2 linked regions of the Cricetulus griseus genome follow. The protein of the gene in region 1 binds, or shares a complex with, the protein of each later gene. Links are inferred from orthologs where the notes say so. Each region holds a gene or a part of one and is shown on either strand. Other genes may lie near its edges.

Region 1 (4,584 bases):
TTTGGAAAGATATCCTCCAAGGGGAGAGGTACGACAACAGATCGGAGCAGCTGGGCTTTTGAGAAAGTGCCCTGCTTTTTATACCCCACCCCAAGCAATCACCTCTCTGGACCTACAGTTCTGAGGAAGAGATCTAACATGTCTAAGGGTCTGGAAGAACAGTGGCAGAGCAGGGAGGAGGGACTAGAGGAAGGTAAAAGCCTGGCTTCTCACTCACCACTGACTCTGGGATTTTCTTAGTATGTTTCCCCAGTGGCCTCTCCCAGGATGGACAGCTCTCCATCTGTCAGCCAACAAAACATATACAGAACACATTGCTACCCTATGCTAGAAGTTCATCTAGATCTGTGAACAAGGTCACCAGCCTGCTCAAACTTCCATGCCAACCGGAGAGACAATTATAAAATAAACAGGTGAATATATAATGCCAAGGAGTAACAGATACTGAGAGGGAAACCTGGGAAACACAAGAGGACCTGGGAGAGCTGTCCACAAAGCTTTTTAAACTGACAACTGAGAAGAAGGAAGCAAAAGGTGAGTCATCAGGACATGTGAGGGAAAACTCCCCAGGCAGCCAGAATATCATGTGCAAAGGTCCTGGGGAGAAAAAGCAGTAAAAAAGAAAAATACCAGGAAGTCAGAATTGTTGCAGTTAACAAGGACATACTCCGTGTGTGTGGGGGGGGGGCGCAGGGCATCCATCATAGGACCACCCACCCTGTGGCCCAATGATGTTCAGGCACTGAGTTTCCACAGATTGTGGTCTCCCCAAGTTTCCTGTCCCCCAGCTTTCTCCTGCTTACTCTTTCTCCTGCTTACTCTTTCTCCTCACCAGGAGTCCTCCCAGTTGGGGCCATTCTGTCAGTTTATCACTTCATCTAACTTAACAAAAACCCAGTAGCAAATACAGTAAGAAAAGCCATATGCGCATTTAACCACAATTCTGAAAAGATAGCAAATGTACCATAGTGAGGAGCAGTAGATCAAAAGGTCATCGAAGGTGGGAGGGAGAATAAGAAAATGAGTATGGAATCTTTGTTACAAGCCTGCAAGTGAACTGGTTCTAAACACACTAACATCCCCAGTCCTGTAAATTGAGGAGTGGAAACAGTAAACCTTGAAATAACCTTGGAGATCTGCTGAAGAGGTGAAGACCACGACCAGAAGCCTTTAATGGACCCGCTCTGCTGCCAGCTTTCCCAATCTCACAGTCATTGCAAATAAACTGGATCCTCCAGTCCCAAGTTGTTCTAAAAGATTTTGATATGTAAAAGCTGATTATTTTTATTTTGTACATCAAAGAAAACAAAAACCAGAAATTCTAGCTCTGTTTCCCTCAAGTCACAATCTGTATCTTAGGCCATAGGCACGCGGTCCACTGCCCCTGGGTGCCTTTCATTGAGTTCCATGTGCCTCGGGAGCTGTCCAGAAGCCCTAGGAGCTGTCCCAGCTTGGGGCCAAACTCTGAAGCGTCGGGTCAATCCGGGTCCAACAATCTTTGCCCCAGCTGCCTAGTTCAAAGGGTTCCAGGCAAGAGAGTCAGTGGGAGCGTGCCCCCAGCCCGAGGGGCAGTGGGAGAGCAACCCCCCCGCCCGCCCGCGAGCAATGACGCGCGCGACACACACACACACACACCACACACACACACACACACACACACTCACACACACACACACACGCACGCACGCACACACACACGCCTAGCGCGCGCCCGCGGCACAGCACTTCCCAACCCCACACAAGCGCACCGCGGCCCGCTGAGTTCTCGATTTCCTCTTCCTCAAAGCCGCTGGGCTACCGCGGTGCGCGGCTCGTTCGCTCCCTCCCCAGAGCCCCACGTCCGCCCTCTCCCACGCCAGCCTCTCCATCGAAGCCCCCGCCGCCTTCCCTCCCGAACCCCAGAGGGAAGCCCCGCGAAGCCCCGGGAGGCGGGTCTTCCCTAGCGAACGCCCGCAGGGGTCCTCGCAGCCCATCAAGCCCCATCCTGGGAGAGCGCTCTGCGGGTATCCCCTCCCGTCTGCGACGCCCGAGCGAGCCCCGGAGTCCTCGCCGCCCGCCGCGACTAGGCGCAGCCTCCGGGCTCTCCCGCCCCACTATTGCTGGCCGCAAGGTCCCGGGCGCACTCGGCTAGGTTCCGGCACCCCTACGCCTCCAGCCCACCCTGCCCCGGGTCCCGGCCCTGAACCCCATCCCAGAGCTGCCCCCAGTGTCCGCTCCCCTCGTGCCTCTAGTCACTCGGGACCCCTCTCCGCCCAGACCTCCCAACTGCAGCGCGCCCGCCCCCCGCCTCGCCGCGGGGCCCCCGGGAGGAAACAAAAGTGTCTCCGCGGCGCCCTGGTCCTGCCCGGGCCCCGCCCGGGCCGCCGAGGTCAGCGAGCCGGGCGCCGCGCCAGCCCTGAAAACTTTACGAACCTGCCCGGGGTCGCAGGACGCGGTGACGAGGGTTCCAAGAGGCCGGAGAGCCGGGGCGGGGGCCGGGGCGGTAGACTGGTGGCCGAGGTTCTGTCGCCCCTCTCGGGGCCGCGGACGGCGGTGGCTCTGCCTCTATCTTGTGCCCATTCTCGCCCGCCGCCGCTGCCCGAACGCACGCACTTACACTCGGGTCGCCGGCCGCGGGCTGCCGCTGCTCTCACTTCCTCTTCCTTCCTCCTGCTGGCCAGAGACACATCTTGCATCTGGGAGCATCCCGCGAGCTGCCGCGAACTCTCCTCCTGGGCAGCCACTGCGGAGTTGCCGCCGCCACCCCAGGCACCTGCGCGCGGACACGCGTGGTTGGTGCGTTTGCTTCCCGCCCCCGCACTGCTGCCCGCCCCCTGCACGGTGCCTAGGGCCGGTTGCCTACGACTTTTTGAAGTCCCTCTACTTTAAAATTGAGAATGCACACCTCAGTTCTGCTATAAATAGTGTGTGCTGAGCATGACTTCTGATGAGCTCATAAACCGCGTTTTGCAGGCACTAATTAACTCCGCCACCCTCATAGCGCCACCTCTGGGGGACAGAAAGCTCATGGTACCTTTTTTATAAGCTTTCATTTTGGACAGCTTATTTGAGATTTTTCCACCGAAGGGGGAAGAAACTTAGGTGGGCTATTTTGAAACAGTTGCTCTAAGAAGCTCCCGTATATGTCTTGCCACTTTGTCGTGGGTGGCGTGGCAAAAATGACAGGCCGTTTCCTTCTCCTCCATCACCTGTAGTCGAAACTACAAGGTTTCCTTCAATGAAGCCAGAGACTCTTGTCTGGTATAGCGTGGCATGAAGCAACATGTACTACCCTGAATTTGTTATTTGTGGTGATTGTAGTCATGCAGCCTACTTCAGTTTCCAAAGAAGAAATCAAACACATTTAACTCCCAATCTAGCAGGAAAGAGGAAAATGACAGTTGGAAAGTTCAGGAGAAACACCTGTCTTCTGATGGAGCCAATGGAGAGGGAAGGGAGCTGCGGTGCATGCCCTCTTCTCTAGAAAAGGGGAGGGGATGGGAGTACTCCCTAGAAGATACAATAATCTAAGGCAAAAGTCAACGCTCTCTTTAATATTAATCACAAGAATATTTACATATTAGCCCTGTGCTAACTGCCCATTAGTAGCCATTAGGGATTTTGCATGAAAAACAAAATAAAATAGCTGTTTCTATACTGATTTTATCATTTCATGTGGCTGCTCTTGGCCACTAAGTCCGAGTATTGGGCGAAAGCCTGGAGATTTGGATGAACAAGACTCCTGGTCTACTTTGTGAGAGAATGTCTCCCACCTTTATTGTGGAGCAGCCTTATATACAAACTTACAAAAACCCCAGGTCAAAGGGTTCACAACAGGATATTGATCCCAGTGGGGTGAGGTCAGGAAAACAGGAGGTACCTGTGGTTATGCTGGAAAACAACTCTTAGAGACCCCATGGGGGCTGGGTTCCAACAATTTCAGTAAATAATAGTTCTAGAGTTTCTATGTAATAAATCAATCGGATAGTATATTGGGTTACCACGTATGTGTATGATTAAAATTAATTTCACCAGTTTGTTTATTTATTTATTTACTTATTTATTTGGGCTTTGGAGACAGCCTTTTTCTGTAGGTAGCCCTGTCTGGCCTCACTCTATAGCCCAGGCTGACCTCAAACTCACAAAGATACACCTGACTCTGCCTCCCAAGTGCTGGGATTTAAGGAATTTTCCACCAGTTTATTTTTATTTAATTTTTTCATACAATGTATTTCAATCATGCTTTCCTCCTCCCCAAACTCCTCCATGAGACTTCCCACCTCCCCACCCACACAATTTCAGCCATTTCTTTCTCTCTCACTCTAAAAAATGAACAAGCAACCAAAAAGAAAACAACCAAACCAATAATAATAATAATAATACAGGATACACACACTTGTATTAAAAACATAAAAACACAAAAATGGGAATCAAAACATACAAAGACCAACAAGACAAAAAAAATGTCCAAACAAAGCAATTCGAGACAAAAAAAAAAAAGTCTACAAAATATTGAGTTCATTTTGTATTGGCCATCTGTTGCTAGACATGGGGCATACTGTAAAGAATGGTTTAATATATACTGTGAAACTCCTTTGGAGAAAA
Region 2 (4,517 bases), about 150 Mb from region 1:
CCCCCTACAAGCGCCTATCAGACACCTCATCTGCCTTAACATCTCCCCTGAAGCAACTCTCCAAAGCTCAGATTGCTAAGGAGGACATGTAACAATGTCACCCTACCACTTCTCGTATTACCTTAACCATAGTGTGTAGCCAAGGCCTCCACAGCAGCTTCTTAGGCAGCCCCCACCCATGGTGTTTGTCCAGTTAGAACCCTCTCATCCTGATCATATTTTTCTTGTAATTAGCTTAAACTGCCTATAAAGCCAGACCTTGCCTAAGAGAATAAACCCTGTTACTTCCATCCTATCTTTGCCCGAAGAGCCCTGTGGATTGCTTTGTTATACAGAACACTAAATTAAGTACTGGTTTGTCAGAGGACTTGGGGCTCCTGAGGATTTTTACTGAAGCTGTGATGCACATCCTTTCCTGAGCTGGGATTTAATACAGATCCCTTGGATTTCCTCTGTGGGGCCAAACCTCTGTACCTCCCAGAAACGAGAGTAGGAGAGACAGGTGGAGAAGGGCAAGACTAGAAGAAGAAACAATTGATGGGGAAGGACAACTGTGAGGTGGTAAGAGGATAGGAACGGGAAGGAGCCTAGCTCTTAAATTTAGCTTTGCTTGAAGATCCCCCAATTGTGGCATTTGCTCCCCACCACTTCTCTTTTATTCTCGTGGAGGGAAGTTAATACAGAAGAGTGGAGGAGGTAGAGACAAACAAAATCCCTGAGCATGTAACCCAAAGACCGAGGAAAGGGCTCTAGAATGGGGAAAAGAACTTACAGGGTCAGGACAGACTAAGTTAGACTTTGGAGAAATTTCTCAGGGAAAGGGAACAGAGTCCTAGGTAAGAAGCAAATAGCAAGGATGCTTAAACAGACCTGTCAGCAGAACTCCCTGAAAGGCTCTGACACACACCAGAAAATGCAGATACCCAACCTCTGCAGTCCCCAGAAAGCTGCAGGGAAGAAGAACAACCCCCTTTTTCTTATATCTCTTTCCTGGTCAAAAATTTAAGACCAGTCAGGACTGACGTTAGATCAGCTGCAGTTTTCCCTCCAGAATCTTGCCTTTGCCCCCTCCTTTTCCTAGCATACCAAACAGCCCACCCCATTCTCACCACTGGTTGGAACCAGCAATGGCAGGGACCTTCAGGCTAGCCCAACTCCTGGGCAGGACTCTTGGTTGAGCACCTAAAGATCAGGGTAGTTTTGATTTCCCATGGCCCTTCTCACTATTCCCTTATTCTTGTGTCATCCTACCCTGACTGCTACAAACTGCTTCCCCCTGCCTAACCACAATGTCACCCACTGCAGGTTCCCTTCATTCTGTTGGCTTCTGCTCTGGGCCTTCTCAAGGCTGAGGGCAGTTATTTTGTCTCTAAGAGATAAAGATGTTGACACACCAGAACTTACATGCTTATTCGCATGTGCACGTTTCCAGCCCTTTAATCATCTCCATCATCGGGAGGCTGCAGACTGCATCTCTAAGAGGCGTGAAAAGGCTCCCAAACTCAAGTCTAAAGCAGTTTCGGACACCAAAGCTAAAGACATGAACACAAGGAGACAGAGGGCAGCAGGGAAAATGGAAAAGGGGTGTGTGTGTGTGTGTGTGTGTGTGTTAACCTGTGTGTGTGTGTGTGTGTGTGTGTGTGTGTGTGTGTGTGTGTGTGTGTGTGTGTGTGTGTGTGTGTGTGTGTGTGTGTGTGTGTGTGTGTGTGTGTGTGTGTGTGTGTTAACCAGAGGCTGAAAAGAGATGGGAATGTGAGGCAGCAGAGAACCGAGCAGACAACGGCGGGGCAGGGTTAAGTGTGAGATTACCACTTAAGTACATCTATGTGGTTGGGGGAAAAAGAGACTGAAGAAACAAATGTGTGGTAAACACTAAGGTCAGTAGAGGAAGACAGTATGTGGAATTCAGGTGAGAAAGACTAAGAGACAGCTCTTAATCATTCTCGAAAGCCTAGCTGTCTCTCAAAGTCCTATAATACGTTATCAGTGACTGTTGGTATCGAGACCTTTTCCTTCCTCAGTTGATCCTCAAAAACAGCAACGCCAGATTGAGTCAGTCAGACACAACAGACATGTTCACTAAATACCTGTTGCACGGCACAGAGATAAAGAGGTCGGCTCAGAAAAATAGAGAAGGGGCGGGGATTCCCCCACCCGGTCCTCCAGAGGGTTGCAGCAACAGTGTAGCTATAGACTGGCCCGGACCTTCCCGGGTGAAACCTTTCTCTGCATTCTCAGGCTTCAGAGGCCCCAGACGCCGCCTCCCGCCCCCCCCCCCGGCCCAGTCTCACAAATGTCACAACTGCAGAGCCAGAGAGCGCGCCTTCTCTAGCCCAGAGGCCCTCTTCTTTCACACACTACTGAACACCCCCCACAACTTTTGAGGGCACCCCACCACAGAGTCCCATCCTCACAGCTCAGCGCTTTCCCATTTGCGAGCCTCTGACGGCTCGGATCTCAGAGGTCCCTCGCGGCTCTCGGGATCCCGCGCTGTCCTCTGGATCCCATCCTCAACTCAGCCATCAGCGATCGACTCGAGGTGGCCGCTGTCCCCGCCCGGCCTGCCGCTCCCGCCCAACTTGCAGTGAGCGAGAACCTCCCGCCCGCGGCCTCCCTCCTGCAAACTTCCCTGCTCCCGGGCGCCCAGCCAGTCCCAGCCGGCCGCACTCCTCTTCCCAGGACCCCAGCCCACCGGCCCGGGCCGGGCCTCACCTGGTGCCCTCCCCGCGACGGGGGAGCTGGGGGCGGCGGCGGCGGCTCTGGGCTCAAGAAGGAAGTGAGAGCTGGAGGCCGGAGGAAGTGGGGGGTGGGGGACGGGCCGGCGGGGCCCGGGGCGGGCGGGCGCGGGGCGGGCGGCCGGGGCGGGGCGGACCAGGAAGTCGGCGGCTTCCCACCCCATCGCCCGCGGTGTTCTGCAAGCTTTGCCCCCCGGGCTGTCCCGCGTCTCGTTTCCCTCCACCCTTCGCCCTATGGCCACTGAGACCCCTCGGGTCTGGCCTCTCAAAGTCAGGTCTCCCCGCTTTCACTTGGCATCCCACCCCAGCAGAGGCCCGAAGCTAGGCGCTAGGCATTTGTTCTCTTCCTGGTATCTCCCGCCCGGCAACCTCCGCGGGCAGGCTGAGAAATGCCTTCCGCTCAGCGCGGGCATCTAGAGGTAGCTGTGGCTGGCGAGGGGTTAGCGGGAATGGGGCAGGCTGGGGCAGTCCCCACCCCTGCCCTGAGCCTTGGGAGATTGCCGGATGGTGGTGATTCAGCAGTGGGAAGGTCCCAGACCCCTAGGGAGGGTGGGGAGACTAGGGAAACTAGGGGAAGGGCAGCTGCCGTCAGCACCCCGGGAAAAAGACACGATCAGCAGAGCCGCAGGCGGAGCTGCGCGGGCCCCAAAAAACAGGATGTCGTGTCGTGGTTCCGCACTTCGCGGCTCCGCGCGGCTCTGGGGAGGGGGTGGGGCGTGGGAAGACGTGGGGCTCCTCTTGTTCCCCGACTTCGGCCTGGCGCGCAGCTGTTTGGCGCGGTGGGACCCCACCCAGGCCTGAGGTCCGCCTTGGGCCCTAGAGACAGGCGAGTGGACGGACTCGTGGGCGCCCCCTGGTGCTTCTAACCCAGGCCGGGCGCTGAGTTTTGACTGGAGAATCCAGTTCTTGGTTCTTTTAACAACTTTCTGGGTGCCCTACCACGTGCAGAGCTCCGCTAGGTGCAATGGAAACAGTACTTACAAGGACTTCCAAATAAAGAGGATCAATTCTGAAAAATAGTTTAACCTTTCCAAGTATCAATTCTTCTCTCTCTCCCTCTCTTCTCTCTCTCTCAAATCAACAAAAAATTCTCCACCCTGAGGATGTGAAAATAACAGAGTATGTGTCTGTGCTACTGTATCGAAAGTGAAGTTAAGACGATCAGATTCAGGATGGCTGGTCAATGACTGAGTGAATGAAAGCGTGTTCTGAGATCTTTCAGAAACCTGTTCTGATTGCTTTTGGACTTTCTTCTTCTTTGGTCTTTGAGACAAATTTCTCCCTGTGGGGAACAGAGAATAGAAGAGGTTAGGGGAAATTTGGGAGGACAAAACTGGTACATGGAAAGAGGTTTGTGAGTCCTAGAAATAACAGGGTCCTGAAGTGTACCTCACATTCAGGCGGCTTCAATGAAGCCATTAATAATGCGTTCCAAGCCAGATGTGGTAACACACACTTATAATCAGCGTTCAAGAGGTAGAGACAGGAGGTTCAGAAGTTCAAGTCCAGCCTGGGCTATATGAGACCTTAAGGGGAAAAAAAAAAAAAAGCCCTAGTCTGGCGTGGTGGCACATGCCTTTAATCCCAACACTTGGGAGGTAGAGGCAGGCGGATCTCTGTGAGTTCGAGGCCAGCCTGGTCTTCAGAACGGAGTGCCAGGATAGGCTCCAAAGCTACACAGAGAAACCCTGTCTCGAAAAACCAAAAAAGAAAAAAGAAAATTCTTGCTCAGTGGCAGCGGTAGATTGCTTATCATGTGCTGTACCCCAACACCACAAACAA

Evidence for each region.
Region 2: the proteins of Elmo1 (region 1) and Rhog are in contact, whole or in part, in a crystal structure (PDB 7Y4A), measured with the Homo sapiens proteins. The link is inferred for Cricetulus griseus from reciprocal best matches to the Homo sapiens genes ELMO1 and RHOG. Residues at the interface, in NP_001193409.1 of Homo sapiens: Lys9, Val10, Ala11, Glu13, Tyr18, Pro19, Leu21, Met22, Ala54, Asn71, Gly72, Ile74; in NP_001656.2 of Homo sapiens: Val36, Phe37, Asp38, Trp56, Tyr64, Arg66, Leu67, Leu70, Ser71, Pro73, Gln74.

The regions. Positions count from the first base shown.
Region 1 is NC_048596.1:242,433,927-242,438,510, reverse strand, and holds the start of Elmo1 (engulfment and cell motility protein 1), read right to left. Parts: upstream 2,882-4,584; 5' UTR 2,597-2,881; exon of another isoform or gene 2,413-2,596; intron 1-2,412. UniProt on the Homo sapiens protein: Involved in cytoskeletal rearrangements required for phagocytosis of apoptotic cells and cell motility. Acts in association with DOCK1 and CRK. Was initially proposed to be required in complex with DOCK1 to activate Rac Rho small GTPases.
Region 2 is NC_048596.1:97,133,237-97,137,753, reverse strand, and holds the start of Rhog (rho-related GTP-binding protein RhoG), read right to left. Parts: upstream 2,844-4,517; 5' UTR 2,713-2,843; intron 2,440-2,712; exon of another isoform or gene 2,415-2,439; intron 1-2,414.